Neurospora crassa OR74A: one gene and its partners. The protein of the gene in region 4 purifies or fractionates together with the protein of the main gene of each other region. This does not show direct contact. Links are inferred from orthologs where the notes say so. Each region holds a gene or a part of one and is shown on either strand. Other genes may lie near its edges. The genes, in order: NCU09437, NCU03808, NCU08026 and NCU00334.

Region 1 (4,306 bases), on a different chromosome or scaffold from region 4:
GCCGTGGCGACGAAGAGGACGGTGTGGTTCATGAGCGGATCGATCTTGCGCCAGGCTTCGAGACGGGTGGCGATGGCGGAGCGTTCGGACGATGGCATGTCGCTGTTGGTGTCGACGATGAGCGGCTCGGAGCGCCAGTCCCATCTGCTGACGAAGAGGAGGGCGCGGAGAAGGCCGACGGAAGGGGAGGAGGGTGCGTCCCAGGGGTAGGGGCTCAAGAAAGTCTGGAGGGCGACGAGTTCAATGAAGTCGGGGGTGAAGTGGGAGGCGAGTTTGTGTGAGGAGAACCAGTGTTTGAGCAGGCGGACGGTGGGCGAGAAGGCGGGGAAGCGGGTGGCGAAGGTGTTGATGGATTGAGTGTGCAGAGGGAGGTGGTAGTAGAGTCTGCGGAAGTTGGAGAGGAGCACGGAGGCTTGGTGGCGGTGGTGTTGGTCGATGGTCTTGTCGTGCGATTGGCGCGTGAGGAGGGCCTCTTCGAGGTCAGAGTGGATGCGCAGGCGGAAGGCAGGACCGGACTCGTAGACGATGTCGAGGTAGGCGAGGTTCTCGAGTTCCGTGTTGGTGGTGGTAGAGGACTCGAGACCGACGTAAGAGCGGACCTCGCCGGGCTTGGAACGCTCCAGGAGGTCGCCGATCATGCGCAGGAAGGCGATCTTGGTGCGTTGGATGGCCACGATGGATTCGGGCCACTTGCCGGAGGCTTCAAAGGAGATGACGCATTCCAGGGGGCGTGGGCCGGATTTGTTGACGGTCGAGAAGGGCACCTTGACGGAGGCGTGTCGCAGTTCGGGGCAGATGGGGGCTATTTGCCTGACGTGCAGCGGCATGTCGTCCAAGTCGCGGATATCCTTCTCGAAGGAGGAAAAGGCCTTGCGAGCGGCGTTGAAGACGGAGGTGTCGGTCGGCTTGATAGGAATCAACTCGGTGAAGCCATCGCCGTGGAAGGTGAGCTCGTCCTCGAGGTAGCCAACGCGAAGATGGAGCTTGAGGATGTAGCGCATAATTTCCTCGCAGAGGTCAAAGGGGGAGGTGGACGACCAGATCAAGGTCTCCCTGATAGAATCACCCTCGAACCGACGAAGTTCCGATTTCTCACCCCAGAACCGCTGGAACTTGGCGCATTCCTCCTTCTCCTCGTTGCTAGGTCCAGCGGCCGGACCGCGGTCGACAGAGCGGGTCATGTTGGCGGCATTGAAGAGGACACCAATCTCGATTGTGTGGTTCTGCTTGGTGGAGGGTTTCTTGGTGAGATCCCAGGATGAGCTCTTGGGTAGTTGAATGTGAATCGACCGAGCCCTTTCACCTAGTTCTTCGTCCTGAAGAGCCCGCTTGAGAACCCTGTGCACCTTGTCGCTGTATTCCCATAGCCGTCCCCGGCAGTCAATCGGTTCTGTCTTGTCCTGCTTTCCATCGTAGTTGAGGTGGGCAATGAGGTCGTAGTTTTGCCAGGGGAGGTCGGCCTTGAGGATGAAGGTAGGGGTAAACTGGTCGGCAGTGCTGTCGTTGAGAAGGCTCCTTGTCCACTTGGCGTGTTGGTGTAGCTTGGCCGCAGACCAGTTGCTCATCTTGAAGGCAACGTTCAAACCACGAACAGCGTCGAAGAGAACCGGACCAGTGGTTTCGGACTCGACGGTGGCAGTTCCCAAAACACACGGCTTCTCGGACAGGTTAGTAACAGACAAGAACTGGACCATGGCCTTGAACAACTGGGTGGCGCTCAGGGATGTAGACAAGGGCGCATGTCCCTTGGTGCTGTCGCCGCTTTGGAGCAGAAGGGCCAAAAGTACCGCCCATTCAAAGTGACCAAAACCACCGTCCGCCATATCGCTTCCCAGTCCTCGTTGTTGCAACCACACCCGACCCAGGATGCAAGCCTTCTTGAACGCGGCGCATTTCTTTTCGGTTTGTCGCAAGAGCTTCAAGTAGGGAAAGAAGCAGGACTCGGAAACAATCGTCGAGTTGTAGAAGGGCGTAGGCTTGGTCGCGGCCTTGGACTCGTCACCGCCAGCTTTGCGCACGAGGGTAGCGCCCAAGTGAAGCTTTGATTTGGGGAAGAAGTTGTCTGGGGCGCAAGGGATGATGCGCACTCTGTAGTCCAGCTGGCCCTCCTTTTTTTCTCCTTCCACCTTTGGTTTCAACGACAAAATGGGGGACAGGGTGTTCCCATTCAGGTATTCGTATGAAAGCTCTCCATCATCAGCCAGGTCCTTTTGTAGGGCAGCAGCCACAACACCGAGGAAGTAGGCTCTCTTGTAAAAGTATCGCAGGTCGAGGTAGTCCTTCTCTTGCAGAGTCTCGCCGGGGATCACAACCACCATATCCACAGCATGGCTCTTTTGGGCCTTGATCATGGTCTTGGACACATAGCTGCCGACAACGTTGAACTGGGAAGGCTTTGCGAAGGCGACCTTGTAGTTGGACTTGTCGGACGGGCGCGGCTCGGGGAACGGGATCGGGATCTTGTGTTTCTTTTCGAGTTTGGTGGCAGCCTCGGCGATCTGGAGGGCATCGTGGGCTTCGATGGCTTCGATGGAGCCCTTGATCTTGTGGAGGAGGGAGTCGACGCCTTCGAGGGCCGTGGCATAGTCGAGCTTCACTTCGTCGACGAGTTCTTCGGCTTCGAGGATGAATGCGCGGCCACGCGAGAGACCCGAGGAGGCAGCGGCGTCGATGTTGCCAACTGCGCTTTCACCGCCGCGTGAATGGCCAATCTTGCGTCGTTTTGCTGATCCGGGTTCCATTGTATGTGTGGCGGTGGTATAGGTATATGATGGTGATGGTGGAGGAGGATGTCCTGGGAATGGAGACAGGAAATTGATAGTGACAAGACACTGAGAGAGAGAGCACTGAAAGCCAAACAACAGTGGACCGAGCGTCGTCCCTCCAATTGAAGTTCTGCAAATTCGAGTCTCGTTCAAGTTTGCGACGGGAATTCCCAAATTTTTTGAGACTCTGGAGCTCCGATAAGAGATAAGAGGTCAATCCACAAACAGGGGCAGTGGAAGACCCGACAGGGGCAGTCGGGTGGGGCAATGTTGGTTGGTTGCCCCTGTGGGGTTCAACTGACAGACAGTGAGCGCCCGGCCCTTATCTCAGAATCAGACCCTCTTTTTTAGGCATGGGCGGCCTGCGGCCGCTGGGAAAGTGCGCTGCGCGCACATCTGGCCCGTGCGCTGCGCGCCCGGGGTTCTCAAAAAAAATAATAAATTGAAAGTTACTAAAGTTTCTAAATTGTGATCCGTGTACCCATTCTTTTAGTATACTTTCCGGTATTGAATAAGAACGCCTAAAAAAGAGGTTTGAATTCCCAATTAGACTAGAAGCGGATAGGGGAATTTATATTGATAAACTTCTAAGAAAGATAATATAGCGTTAAAATAAAACAATAGATTTAGGTTATACAAAAGATATGAGGAGAAAGAGTTCGTTGAGACGGATTTAATGGTATTATTAATTTTTTTCTACGACTATTGAAAGTATTAATTATTATAGAAAATGTAAAAACTTTACGTAAGTCCGTATATTCAATGCCTAGTTAGCTATATATTACAGTACGGCTTTTTATCCCAATACTATAAAACTTTGTAGGTATAGATATTATACGACTATTAATATAGTAGTATAGTTTTCTTTACTCTATAGTACGTTATTTTTTTTCCTTAATTTTTTCTATCCTCTATAGGTATTAATACTATAGATCCTAATTTCGATCCCTCCGTTGACCCCTAGCGTATATTGCGGGTAATAAAAGATATTATTAGTAATAGTAAAGACCCTCGAAAAGGCTAGGTTAAGGCGGTAGTACGGTTGGCGTACGAATAGAAGGATATAATATTAGTCGCAGTAATGGGCTACGGAAAAAGTATTGTCCTATATATATTTTTAGCTTTATATAATAAAATTACAATATAGATTATACTGTTAATTAAGTTTGGAGAAAGTTAATATAATAATATTATTACTAAAGTGCTAGATTTAAAGCTAGTATAGGTAAATAAAGATGTGACTTTAAAAGTAAGTATTCTGCCCTTTTTTACGAATCTTAAGTACCTTTATTAATTTATATATAGAACTGGGATATTTGGGACTAAATTTAATGCGGCGATTATACTTATATTCTATTGAGCCCGGAACTTACGATAAGTACGAAATTTAAGGCTGTATTGCGGTCCCTAGAATTCTATAAACGGATTAGTCTTTTCGCTATCGATAAATTATATTGCGTATTAGAATAGTGTGATTTTAGAAAGGAATTTTAGTACTTATATACCTTACGACCTTTATTACCGAGAAGTATTCCCTGGTT
Region 2 (4,197 bases), on a different chromosome or scaffold from region 4:
GTCCGATAAGAAGGATGCGAGCGAAGCGGGGAGAGAGCGGGAAGATGGACATGGTAGATCCGATGGGGGTGACTTGGCCAGTTTGGGAGATGGCGTTGAGGTAGGTCAAAAGCTTCTCGGCCTTGATCAAGCTCTCACGCGGTGGCGGCGTGGGGAAGGGGAAGTTGACGACATGCTGGAGGTTCATGGACTTGAGCTGGAGCACAACGCCCTCGATGGGCATGCGAAGCAACTCGGGCTCTGAAAACTCGGGGAAGTCTCTTTCGTAAACGGCCGAGGAGTAGAGTCTCCAGCAGTGTCCCGGACCGGTACGACCGGCACGACCGGCACGCTGCTTTGCGCTGGCCTTGCTGATCCACCCAATCTCGAAACTCTGGACGCCACTGACAGGATCGAACTTTCTCTCCTTCGACCTTCCAGTGTCGAAAACGTACTTGATGCCGGGAATTGTCAAGGATGTTTCAGCGACGTTGGTAGCCAGGATGACGAGACGGTGGCCCTCTGGGGGCGGCTCAAACACCTTCATCTGCTCTTTCGTGGGGAGCAAAGAGAAGAGAGGTAGGATATGCATCTTCAATGGCCCTGTACCAGATTCTTGGTCCTCAATCTCGAACTCCTTGTCTTCCTCCTCGTCCGACGCAATGGAGATATCGTCATCGTCTCTGTCGTTGATGTTACGGTCATCCTCAACGTCGCCAAAGTCGATGTCTTCGACTTCCATGGGTGCCTCCTTCGCAGAAATCCGCACCTTGGTGGTGCTGGCGGTGTTCATACCGCCACCAAAACGCGCCTTCAACCGCTTGCTGAGCTGGGCAATTTCACCCTGACCGGTCATGAACACAAGCATGCCACCAGGGGGCAGTTTCCTGTGGCCCCTGCAAATCTTGCGGAATGCCTCATCAACGTAGTCGTGGTTTGTCTTTTTGGCAAAATGCATGGTAACAGCATGCTCACGGCCTTCTACCTCAATGATGCGAGGAGTGGTGTGGAACAAGTTAGAGTTTTGGGTGAATTCCTCAACCCTGAGGGTGGCGGACATGATGATCAGCTTGAGAGGCTTGATCGTGGGGTCTTCCTCCGCCAACTCTCTCCTAAGCTTGACCACTCTGCTGAGCATCGCAATCAGGATATCGGTATTGACGCTTCTCTCGTGGGCTTCATCAATGATGATGGCAGAGTACTTGCGAAGAGCAATATCGATGGCCGCCTCACGAAGCAAGACACCATCCGTCATGAACTTGATGGCCGTCTTGGAGTCAACGGTGCCTTCGAATCTGATTTGGTAGGAAACCACATGTGAATAGTCTCCCATTTCTTCGCCAACACGCTTCGACATACTGACAGCAGCGACACGTCTCGGCTGGGTGACACCAATCATGCCAGGAGTAGGTCCATCCGGAACACCGTAACCGGACTCGAAGAGGAACTGGGGAACCTGCGTGGTCTTGCCGGAACCGGTGGCACCGCAAATGATGACAATGTCGTTGTCGTGAATGGCCTCCATAATCTTCTGTTCCTCTGCAACAACCGGTAACCTGAAACGAGTTTCCTGGATCTCGGGTGTCCTGGTAACTACCACGGCGAAAGCCTTGCGGGAATCGTTCTTTGTTGGTTGCAGCTCGATAGGCAGAGGCTCTTGTTCGATCGGCCGAGGCGTAAAGTTGGCAGGTTTCGGTATCTCGAGAATGCTTGATTCAGCAGGCTTGTAACCCAAAGCTTCGTTCCTCGCCTGATGCGCCCAAGCCTTGAAGGCTGAAGACTTTGCTTTCTTGTCCTCCTCGGCGTCCTCCATGTCCTCGTCGGATTCTTCCGCAGAATCATCGTCTTCTGAATCATCTTCGGAACCCTCTCCGTTCTCTTCAGATCCATCCTCTTCTCCCGATTCCTCCTCCTCCTCTTCACTGCCTTCTTCCTCGCTGCCTGAACCACTACCCTCAGACTCTTCATCGTCTGAACCCTCTTCGCCCTCCGAACTGAAACCGTCCCATTCTACCACTTCCGGCACAGGAATGACTGCGGGAGCTTGCGATGATGTAAAGTTGTGCTTCGTTTTCACACCTCCTCTCTTTTGTCTCTTGGCAAGTATTGGGCGTCCTGACTCGTCGACCTCTAAGGGGCGCTTGAGACCAGCACCGACAGGTACTGGCAGGCTTGTTGACGATGTCGTCGCTTGTACTGGTGTAGGCTCGCTTGTTTCCGCTGGCGCGCTCCTTGGCTTCTCGGCTGCCGAGTCCTGCTCATCTTCCGAGCCCTCTGAATCCTCGTCGACCGTGGGTTTAGGCTTTGGTACTGGTGCACCTTCCTTCACCTCTCGCTTTTCGTAAAGTTTCTTGGCCGCCTCCTTCTCTGTTATAAGTCCAGCTTTTGCTTCCTTGACAAGCCGGCTGAGCTCCTCCTTTTTGGTCAATTTTGTTTGGCCTAGTGATTTTGTGCTTGAGAATAGGGAGGTGTCGATCTTGTTGGCGGCAAGCTTGGCCAGGAGTTCGCGGTTCTCGTCCTTCTTGAGCTTTGTGTCGATGTACTTTTCGAGTCTCTTGGCCTTCTTGCTGCTGACCTTGACACCCGCAGGCCTCAATTCCTCCCGTAGCTCGGTCTTCTTCTTTTCGGCATCCGTGGTGGTTTCCTGTCCAGGAGCGATCTCGAGGACGTTGGTGTCTTCGGGGTCTTGTGTTCCCTTACTCCTCGACCGCTGGCGATCAAGCTGCTTGCGCTTGCGCTGACGCGGCACGAACTTCCCGTCTATGACAGCCATGTTGTTGTTTTATCGGGTGTGCTCGAGGCGAGCAGTGACGGCAGAAATGAGGGCCGGTGTCGCGACGGCAGAATGCAACGAACTGAAAGTCACCAAGTACCCTGAAGATTTGAAGATTAAATCTTGTCCGCCTGGCAGAATTTCTGCGCTAAATGTGGCACCCCACGTTTTGGGGGCCTGTGAGGGTCCAGGACAGCAACTGAAGTAACCCAGCTACAGTGCGCGTACAGTTTGCTATGTTTCGTGGGTCCATCCTGAACTCTGCAGCCCAGCCCACTCCGGCTCCATCAACAAACATCACGATGGAGTCCCGCGTCTAAACTCTGAATATGAACGCAGTAGAGACATCAGAGAGTACTATCCGACCAGGAGTACAGAAGCCGAAGTTATCCCCCTACGGTCTTATCCTTTGAAACACACGCGGTTTTTCGAGTCTTGCAACTGTCCATACTTCACCACATCCAGAACTCACCATGTCTGAGGACGCAGTCAGGCAAGAGCCATTCCCGTCACCTTCCAGGCAGGCAACTGGGCTTGTCAACGGAGTGGAAACTGAGGTTTCATCAATGAACTTCTCGGACAAGATCATGGTCACCATTTCTCAAGGTGGGCGCCTTGCTCAGTGGGTAGGTTCAAGAGCGCCCGAACGCCATCCCACTTACAGTCTACTAACATACCATGTTCTAGGTCCAAGTACAACTAGCCGCACCTTCTTCCGCGTCAGTAGACATGGCTCTGCCTGGCGCCGGTAGCCTGTTACCATCAGAACATTTAACAGCAACGACTCTTCTTGGAGGTGGAAATGCGGAGAGGGAGACCATGGGCCAGCTTTATGCCAGTCAAATTGCCAGTCTCCTGACTTTGCGCAACCCCAATGAGCAGCGGTCTTTGTTGCTTGGTTTGGGCCTGGAGAAGGTCGACACCACTACTAGTGACTCCTTCTATGACGTGGTCGAGTTGGTACAACAAGTCCTCTAATAGTAAATGTCATGGAGTGAACGATATCTCGCAGTAACAAGTTCGAGTTGAGGCTATCGCGATGAGCAGTTCTGGTGAAGCGGGGAGTAGAAACCAAATGTGTGGTTATCGGGAATGAGCATGTTCGCAACTCGGTGGATGTGGTCGGCTGAGAAGATGTAAGTGAGGGCTGGTCTGTCTTAAGGCAGGTTCTGGGAAGACAGGGGAACGATGGCTGGGCTGCTGGCCAGTTTAATCCTAGAGATGTAGAACACAGAACAATGGAGGGCAGTGAGCCCGATCTTGCAGCAACACAAAAGATGTGTGTCAAACGAAAAGCGACTCCAGGCAGATCGACAATTTCGAGCAAGGATCCAAACAGGATGATAGGATGATAGGATGATGTTGAAGGCAAGAGGGGCTCAAGTGGACGAGCTGAGGGACAAGGCTTAGCCATAGACCCTAACCCTGCTTGATGAAGCGGAAAT
Region 3 (3,722 bases), on a different chromosome or scaffold from region 4:
AAGCAAGGCTGGAAGGAGGAATTACCGGCCGCAAAACGAATGGACAAAACACTATGGAATAATTAAAAGTGTACAGTGTGGTAGGTAGGTAGGTAGGTAGGTAGGTAGGCAGCCGGGACCGTCGGAAGAAACGAGAGTAGGGGTGGTTTTGGGAAAAGTGAAATGACCAGGTGCGAAGCGAGAGAAAACTCGCCCGAAAGCTGGGTGAGGTGAGATTTTGGAGGATGACGGGAAAGATTGGATTGTCAGGTCGTTTTACAATTCCCGCCTGAGTGGACAATGTGGGCCGAACTGGGAAATGTCTGTAGTTTTTTGGAGGGACCGTGGGGGGGCAGATAAGGAGAAGTTCAGGGGAAAGAGGGGCCCGGGACCACGCCACGCCGGGGGGCGCCCCGTCGCTGAACGCGGCCGGCACTGTGCCAATATGTGAGTGGTGGTACCACGTCCGCCTTCGGATGCAGTGACTTCAGTTCCATTGGGTTTCCTTGGTGGCGTTCGTAATGCTGAAAGTTACGGACCAGAACGCCGGTAATAACGCAACGTTACTCGATCTTTGTGCAGATTATGTAGTTGATCATGTTATGTTACCTCCACCTCGAAATGTTGATAAAGATACGAGCTATTCACCACAGTCCCCTTCAGATAAAGTGATTAGATCGTGCCGGACACGAAAAGAAAGTAGTTCAGGTGTAGTGTATGTATGCCCTACGCAGTAATAGTGAAACCTCGGTTCATGATCAGCCACCACCTTTGGCCATGTCTGCCCTGCTTCGAACATGCCGTGCTGCTATGAACGAAACGATACGCGTAATCTCCCCACATCATGTTTCCAATTTCAGAAACAGACGATCATTGAGGCGAAGAACGTGGAAGCTTCTCATACCCCGCGGTTCATAATGTTTCGGCAGTCAACCTCAGAGGGTAGCTCTGCATACCAGCCACAACGCTTCTTGGACGTCATTCGTCCATCACACTGCGATCTTCCAGCTGAGTTTCAGCAAAAGAGCGCTCGCTCAACCTGTCAGACCTTGACAGGCATCTCGAAACTATTCCCGCCGGAAGTTGACCATTCCATTCTTGCAGTCAGCCGCCGAACCTCGGAACGCAGTTCTGTTGTCGCTGCTATCGATTGGCATCTTCCGTTACTTCTGCCCTACATATGGGCTATTGCGAAAGACCAAGTGGCTGGTAGCTCGACCTATTGCATCAGAAGCTGGTCTTCGGGTCGATAAATCGACCAAAATCGTAGAGGTACTCAAAGACCATGAACCGTCAGACCATAGAATTCCATGCGTTTTTCCCGTTGATGGACTTACAGGTTTCAATACGAGTATTTCCCATTCGCGCATAGCTAAAACAAATAATACATTGCCGCGCCGACCTCATGATCACCCAACGGTCTCGTTCAGGCAGTCCACGAGCACGCGGTTGGCGCTCTTGGAAGCCTGAATGCCCTTTTCAATCAGCTGCGTATAAACGTCCATATCGGACGCAGGTAGGTCACCCTTGAACCAGAGGTTGGTGACCTCTTGTCGTGTGGGAAGATATGCGATGCAGCACGCTGCAAGAACCTTCTCATGCTCAGAAGGAATCGGGTCGACAACTATGCTGGGAGCAGCGTCATTACCTGCGTCCTGTACCAACGCAGCAACACCTCCGGCCACAGTGTCGACGCAGTCAATGCCAGCGTCAGCAAGTGCAGCCGAGGCAACGGTGATGCAGCCACTCAAGGCATTCATGGTGTCCCAGGCCTCAATACCCTGGGCCTTGGAGGTCTCCCGATCTTGCTCTCCTTCAACAATGGAGATGATGATATCCACTCCACTCTTTGGCCAACGGTCAGCAATGATAGATCCCCGAAGAGCCGTCTCAAGGTGAGTGCCGAGATCTCTCTCGATCGGGTCACGAATGTAACCACGCCTTTGCTTGGTCGCAAAGGGTGCAAACTTGACATGGGTGGACAAGATGATGTGAGGAGAAAAAGGTGTTGACCTGGGCAAAGCTCTAGGTCCATGAACGCTGCAACTGAGCTTCAAGCCAGAGCCGCCGTTTCCAGACGACTCGATCTCTAGGTAAGCAGAGCCAGAGGCCGACGGTGTCACTCCCGTCTTGAGATCTAAACGTGAGGTTAGTCTGTGTCTGCGAAACAGGAGGGTTTGTCCTCGACGTGCTTACACATTTTGCGAATTACGTTCGCCGGGCGTGACCTTGTGACCTTGAAACCTTCGGATTGCTTCTCGGGTGCATCGTCATAGATGGGAGGGTTGGTAGTCCCAACCGGTCCGTTAATACGTCTTCTGTCGGCCATTTTGAAGCCAAGATACGAGGGCCGGAGATATGGTGGGCTTGGTGATTGCTGTGTTGTTTCCGATGCCCTTCTCTGGTCGAAGAATCCTGAGATAGGTGAAGAGGAAGAGACCTCGTCTGTGTATGGCTTTCCTTGTTTCACGGTTGGTAACTTCTGTTGGTACCTCTGTTGACTGTTGAAAACAAGACGTGAGAGTCGCCGTCTACACTGCAGTGGGTCCACTCTCAAATTCAAGTAGTTGTGGCGCAACCTCACATTCACTGTCGATTTTGATCAGTCAGCCACATGCCCCACCCAGAATTCCATGTCAAAGCCACCGATGGAGGAATTTTTTGCGCAGCTACAAAACTCTGCCGCCTTCAGTTCCAACCTCATCTTGAACTCTTCCACCAACCCACACCGTTCGCAACGGCAGGAACGGCTTGCGATTGTCGGCATTGGATCAATGCCTTCATTTGATATGGCCACTGTCTTTGGGGAGCAGCCATGATACCATGGTCTTACCGTGCTCATGGTCGCTTTGGTTGGGCAGCCTTCTGCGCTGGCGCAGCAATGGCATGGTCATGTCAACTGTCCAGGCATGCTCTTGGTTATTCTGCGATGGCGAACCCCATTGCTAGAGAGCATGTCCTGGCTGTCTGACATGGCCGACGTTGGTTCGCACGGATAGAGTAAGTTTATTTCCCCTTGCCTTTCACATCTCATGATGATCCCATAACCACAGTTCTCGCGATAATCTCTGAGCGATCGAACAAACATGCACTACCATCTGACTACTCCTTCAACACATCCTTCACTTGCAACTCATTTGGAGGAACCGTTGACTGACAATCAATAGTACAGACAAAGTTGTTATTGTCACCGTTGCTGTTCCACTCCGTTTTCTCAGTCTCTACCCACTAGGTAAGCATCACATTGTTTTCCTTTCTGTTTTCTTTCCCCCACCTGACATCATCACCCACCCGATTGTCCATGATGAAACAAAATATTTTCAGTTCTGCTTCTGAATAATAATGAGCGATAACCAATTATACCAAAACCTTCTGATATGGCAATCACCCCAACTCTTTCTTGCAACGACAGCCCTCACCACACATGCTGCGAGCAAGTTGGCTAACAAACTTCAAGTTATATAGGATCTGAAAACGATCTTGCGTCTAGTGGGAGAGTCGACATGCCCATCTGGTAGGTACTTTGCCTTTTTTTTTTTTCCTTTGTCCCATGCACAATGATGACAACAGTCTATCCATTCAACGATATGTACGGGCCGAGCCATCCATCCGCACTGGAGCGTCTTTCGGGGCGTGAGGACTAGTTGTGGTGTCTCCCTTCGGGGTGTCATTTGGCTTCCGTTGTCCGAGTCTCCTGCGCACCGTTTTGGGGCGTGGGAGGCTTGGGCCGGCTTTGTAGGGCT
Region 4 (3,261 bases):
AGGACCGGGAAGACTGCGTAGAGGTGGTGCGGATCAAGGAAGGCTTGGTAAAGAAGGTCTTCGAGGGCGAGAAGAGCGCAAGTATCAGAGACTCGAGGGTGTTGCCGGTGTCGGCACTAACGGGGACGGGCGTGAGGGAGGCGGTGGAGTGGGTTAGGTCAAGGGTAAAGTGGAACAAGGAGTCGAGGCCGCCGGTTATGCGGTGAGAAGCGGGAGCGGTTGATGATGAAAGACCAATTCATGACATAACCCACGTTCGCGACCAATATCGACGAACATCGACAGCGCCGGGGCAGAGGATTCTATGTGGGAGCCAAATCCTCCCTTTGGGTTCGGCAGGCAATGCTTGGATCTTGCCTGCCGTCGAGGATCAATATCGCTTCCTGGAAGACTTAAGAACTAGGCCAGGAGCGGTACGTGATCACGCAGGTTTCTTCCAAAAAGACCTACAACACCCTGCCATCACGCGAGATTACCCTGCCATCAGATCAAATCACTTCAGATTCGGGCAAGATTGGATCGTGGGGGGAGTGGCGTAGAAGCAAATTTAGGGCTCAGGCTTGGTCTAAACTAAAGTTTGGAGCTCATTGCGTCCAGAGATAGAGGCTAGGACCCTGTGGTTACCTGGCGCCAATGCTTTCACCTCATTCATCTGGCAGCTTTAGCGGCAGATGAGGACTTGGGGACTGAGCTGATGGCGAGATACACTGTGTAACGTTAGATGGCAATTTCGGTCGCCGCTAACGGGATAACTCCCTTTAGACATGAGGGAGGATACGGCACTCGCGGCGCCCCCCATCATAATAATAGAGCCCATTCCGCGGAGTGACTTGCCTCTTGGACAATTCTTGCCGTTCTCTTTTGACTGAGAAAAGTAAAGAGACCAGCTGTAGAGCTGTCCCATATCCTCGTCAGGTTTCGCCTTCAACCACACAGCCTTGTTGTTCTGCTTGGCTCTATGGCCGTACCTGGGTATCTCACTTCTTCCTCTTACGTCCTCAACCGCTTCACCCAACAATGCGATCATTCTCCGCCCTCAACTCAGCCATAAACCCACCCTTATCCCTCCTCTTTGCGTCCTCCGCCAACTTGTCATCCAAGTAAGTGGAGAACTCCTTCACCTTCGTCAGCGCCACGCTGGTACACTGCAGTAGCGCAACTGCCTCGACCGGTACACCCCCGAGCTTCGCGATCTGGCAGATCTCTCCGTGCCTGTTCAAACTAATCGTGACACTGGCGACCCTGACTTGCTCCTCCATCCAATCCGCATCCAACAACGCTGTCTCACCCTCCTCGCCAAAGAAACTCCACGTCACGCAGAAAGGCGAGTGCAGCCAGCCCAGCGGCACCGGCTCCCGCTCCGCAGGCGTGTACACCGTCAGCACGCCATTCTCCATGCTGGTGTCGGGCTTTCGGAAGTGGCGAAGGGCGGCGACGACGGCGAAGCAGGCCGCATCGGTCAGGTTGCCGTCGTGCGAAAGCACGTGCACGTCGACCCGGACGGACCAGCACTTTTGCCCCGCGACCAGACAGAGCGACTCGGTGTCGAGGGCGCCGGAGCGCCGGACCGTCTTTTCGAGCAGGCGCGAGAGCAGCACTTCGGTTTCGGTGGGCCGGTTCACTTCGAAGTGAGGCGCGGCCATGGGGGAGAGTTCGGTGGCGATGGTGAAGATGCCGTCGAGCGGGCGGTCGGCGAAGGGGACTGTTACTTCGGCGGAGGCTTTGGCAAGAATTCTAAAGATGGGAGTCCCGGTTAGTATCTTGGTGCCTCAGGGGTAGGATATGCGTGGTGGTGGTGAGAGTACACAAACGTACTTTGTCTTGCCAAGCGATACATTGGCGACGCCATATTCGTCTCCAAACGTGAGCTCTAGTGGACGGTATTGGTCGAATTCACGGCCATCGAGGCGAATCTGTTCGTCTTGAAGCGCCTTCAAGAGAAAGGCCTTCTCGTTGGCTGACGGTTCTGCTTCTCTGGGCATGTTGACTGAGGTTTGTTTACTTTTTCCCTTTGAAAATACGTGGTTGCGGATCTAAAGAATCGGGCAACATCACTGGTTAGGTAGGTGCTGCAGTTGCAGTCGCTATGGTCACCGTTTCTGCCACTAAAGTCCGCCAGAATTTGGCGGGTTTTGCCGCTGGCGGTCAAGAAGTGCGCCTGCGAGACTGAACCCCAGGGCGTCATTGGATCCATTTGTACCACTACTGCCAGCCAGTTCCTTCTTCAGACTTCAGAGCCATTGCTTCAAATCAGGAACAACTTTACTTCCCTCTGCAGCAATTTCCACTTCCAACACCCCTCAACAAATCACGGCCCATCTCGCCCTCTATTGCGCGCGCTTCATCTCTCACGCACCGGCATCATCTATCAACTCAAGAAAAGAACTGCGTAACCGAACCAAGCCGCCAGAATGACCACAGCTCACAGACCTACCTTCGACCCGGTACGCATCCCACCACCCTCATCCTTCTCATCCCCAACCAATCCCGCCATCCTCTCGTGCACCCACTAACATCCATTCTTCTCAAAACCAGGCCAAAGGCAAAGAAGCCCTCCGCGGTCCCGCCTACCACCAGCGTCTCCTACCCGCCTACACCCAGCTCAAGTTCCGCAAGCCCGGCCAAGGCGGCGTTGCGGGGGCATCTGAAGAGCGCGACACGCGCGACCTGCGCGCTGAGCTGCTGGCTGCCGAGGAGGCGCACAAGGCCAAGTTGAGGGGCGGACCTGCTCTTACCTCTGGTGATGACGATGTCGATAACGAGAAGGCGGGAACCAAGCGCCCATTGGCTTTGACGGGCGGTGATCACAACAAAGAGGAGGAAGACCAAGAAGCGAAGCGACGAAGGATATTAGAGTTGACGAGGGAGATTGATGCGGATGATTCTTCTGATGATGTTGATGACGACGACGCGGATGCCGATGACGCCGATGCCAAATCACCAAAAGCCCAGAAGAACCAAGATGACGACGACGCCTCTTCAGACTCCTCCGATTCTGATTCCGACTCCGACTCCGACTCAGACGACGAAGAAGCCGAACTCCAGCGGGAACTCGAGCGCGTGCGTCGCGAGCGTCAAGAGAAGCGCGAGCGCGAGGAGCTTGAGCGCCAAAAGGCCGAAGAAGAACAGCGCGAGAAGGACATAGCGCTCGGGAACCCGCTGCTGAACAAGCCGGACTTTACGGTCAAGAGGAGGTGGGACGACGACGTGGTCTTCAAGAACCAGGCGAGGGGTGTGGACGATAGGAATAAGAAGAAGGAG

What was found.
Region 1: the proteins of NCU00334 (region 4) and NCU09437 purify together in Saccharomyces cerevisiae (affinity purification with mass spectrometry, with the first as the bait; 3 studies listed by BioGRID). This does not show direct contact. The link is inferred for Neurospora crassa OR74A from reciprocal best matches to the Saccharomyces cerevisiae genes RRP45 and UTP22.
Region 2: the proteins of NCU00334 (region 4) and NCU03808 purify together in Saccharomyces cerevisiae (affinity purification with mass spectrometry; 6 studies listed by BioGRID). This does not show direct contact. The link is inferred for Neurospora crassa OR74A from reciprocal best matches to the Saccharomyces cerevisiae genes RRP45 and ECM16.
Region 3: the proteins of NCU00334 (region 4) and NCU08026 purify together in Saccharomyces cerevisiae (affinity purification with mass spectrometry; 5 studies listed by BioGRID). This does not show direct contact. The link is inferred for Neurospora crassa OR74A from reciprocal best matches to the Saccharomyces cerevisiae genes RRP45 and MTR3.

Annotation. Positions count from the first base shown.
Region 1 is NC_026507.1:182,532-186,837, forward strand, and holds the start of NCU09437 (hypothetical protein), read right to left. Parts: upstream 2,827-4,306; 5' UTR 2,742-2,826; coding exon 1-2,741. UniProt on the Saccharomyces cerevisiae protein: Involved in nucleolar processing of pre-18S ribosomal RNA and ribosome assembly.
Region 2 is NC_026505.1:2,474,189-2,478,385, reverse strand, and holds the start of NCU03808 (pre-mRNA-splicing factor ATP-dependent RNA helicase PRP16), read right to left. Parts: upstream 2,822-4,197; 5' UTR 2,753-2,821; coding exon 1-2,752. Other genes in the region: NCU03807 (hypothetical protein), read left to right, coding at 3,226-3,378, 3,440-3,730. UniProt on the Saccharomyces cerevisiae protein: Probable ATP-binding RNA helicase. Required for 18S rRNA synthesis. May play a role in restructuring of the pre-rRNA.
Region 3 is NC_026504.1:3,956,927-3,960,648, reverse strand, and holds NCU08026 (3' exoribonuclease), read right to left. Parts: upstream 2,502-3,722; 5' UTR 2,309-2,501; coding exon 2,176-2,308; intron 2,117-2,175; coding exon 1,389-2,116; 3' UTR 1,317-1,388; intron 1,255-1,316; 3' UTR 557-1,254; downstream 1-556.
Region 4 is NC_026503.1:3,487,022-3,490,282, forward strand, and holds NCU00334 (3' exoribonuclease), read right to left. Parts: upstream 2,052-3,261; 5' UTR 1,983-2,051; coding exon 1,816-1,982; intron 1,735-1,815; coding exon 1,008-1,734; 3' UTR 525-1,007; downstream 1-524. Other genes in the region: NCU00333 (ADP-ribosylation factor family protein), read left to right, coding at 1-206; NCU00335 (pre-mRNA-splicing factor cwc15), read left to right, coding at 2,412-2,444, 2,536-3,261. UniProt on the Saccharomyces cerevisiae protein: Non-catalytic component of the RNA exosome complex which has 3'->5' exoribonuclease activity and participates in a multitude of cellular RNA processing and degradation events.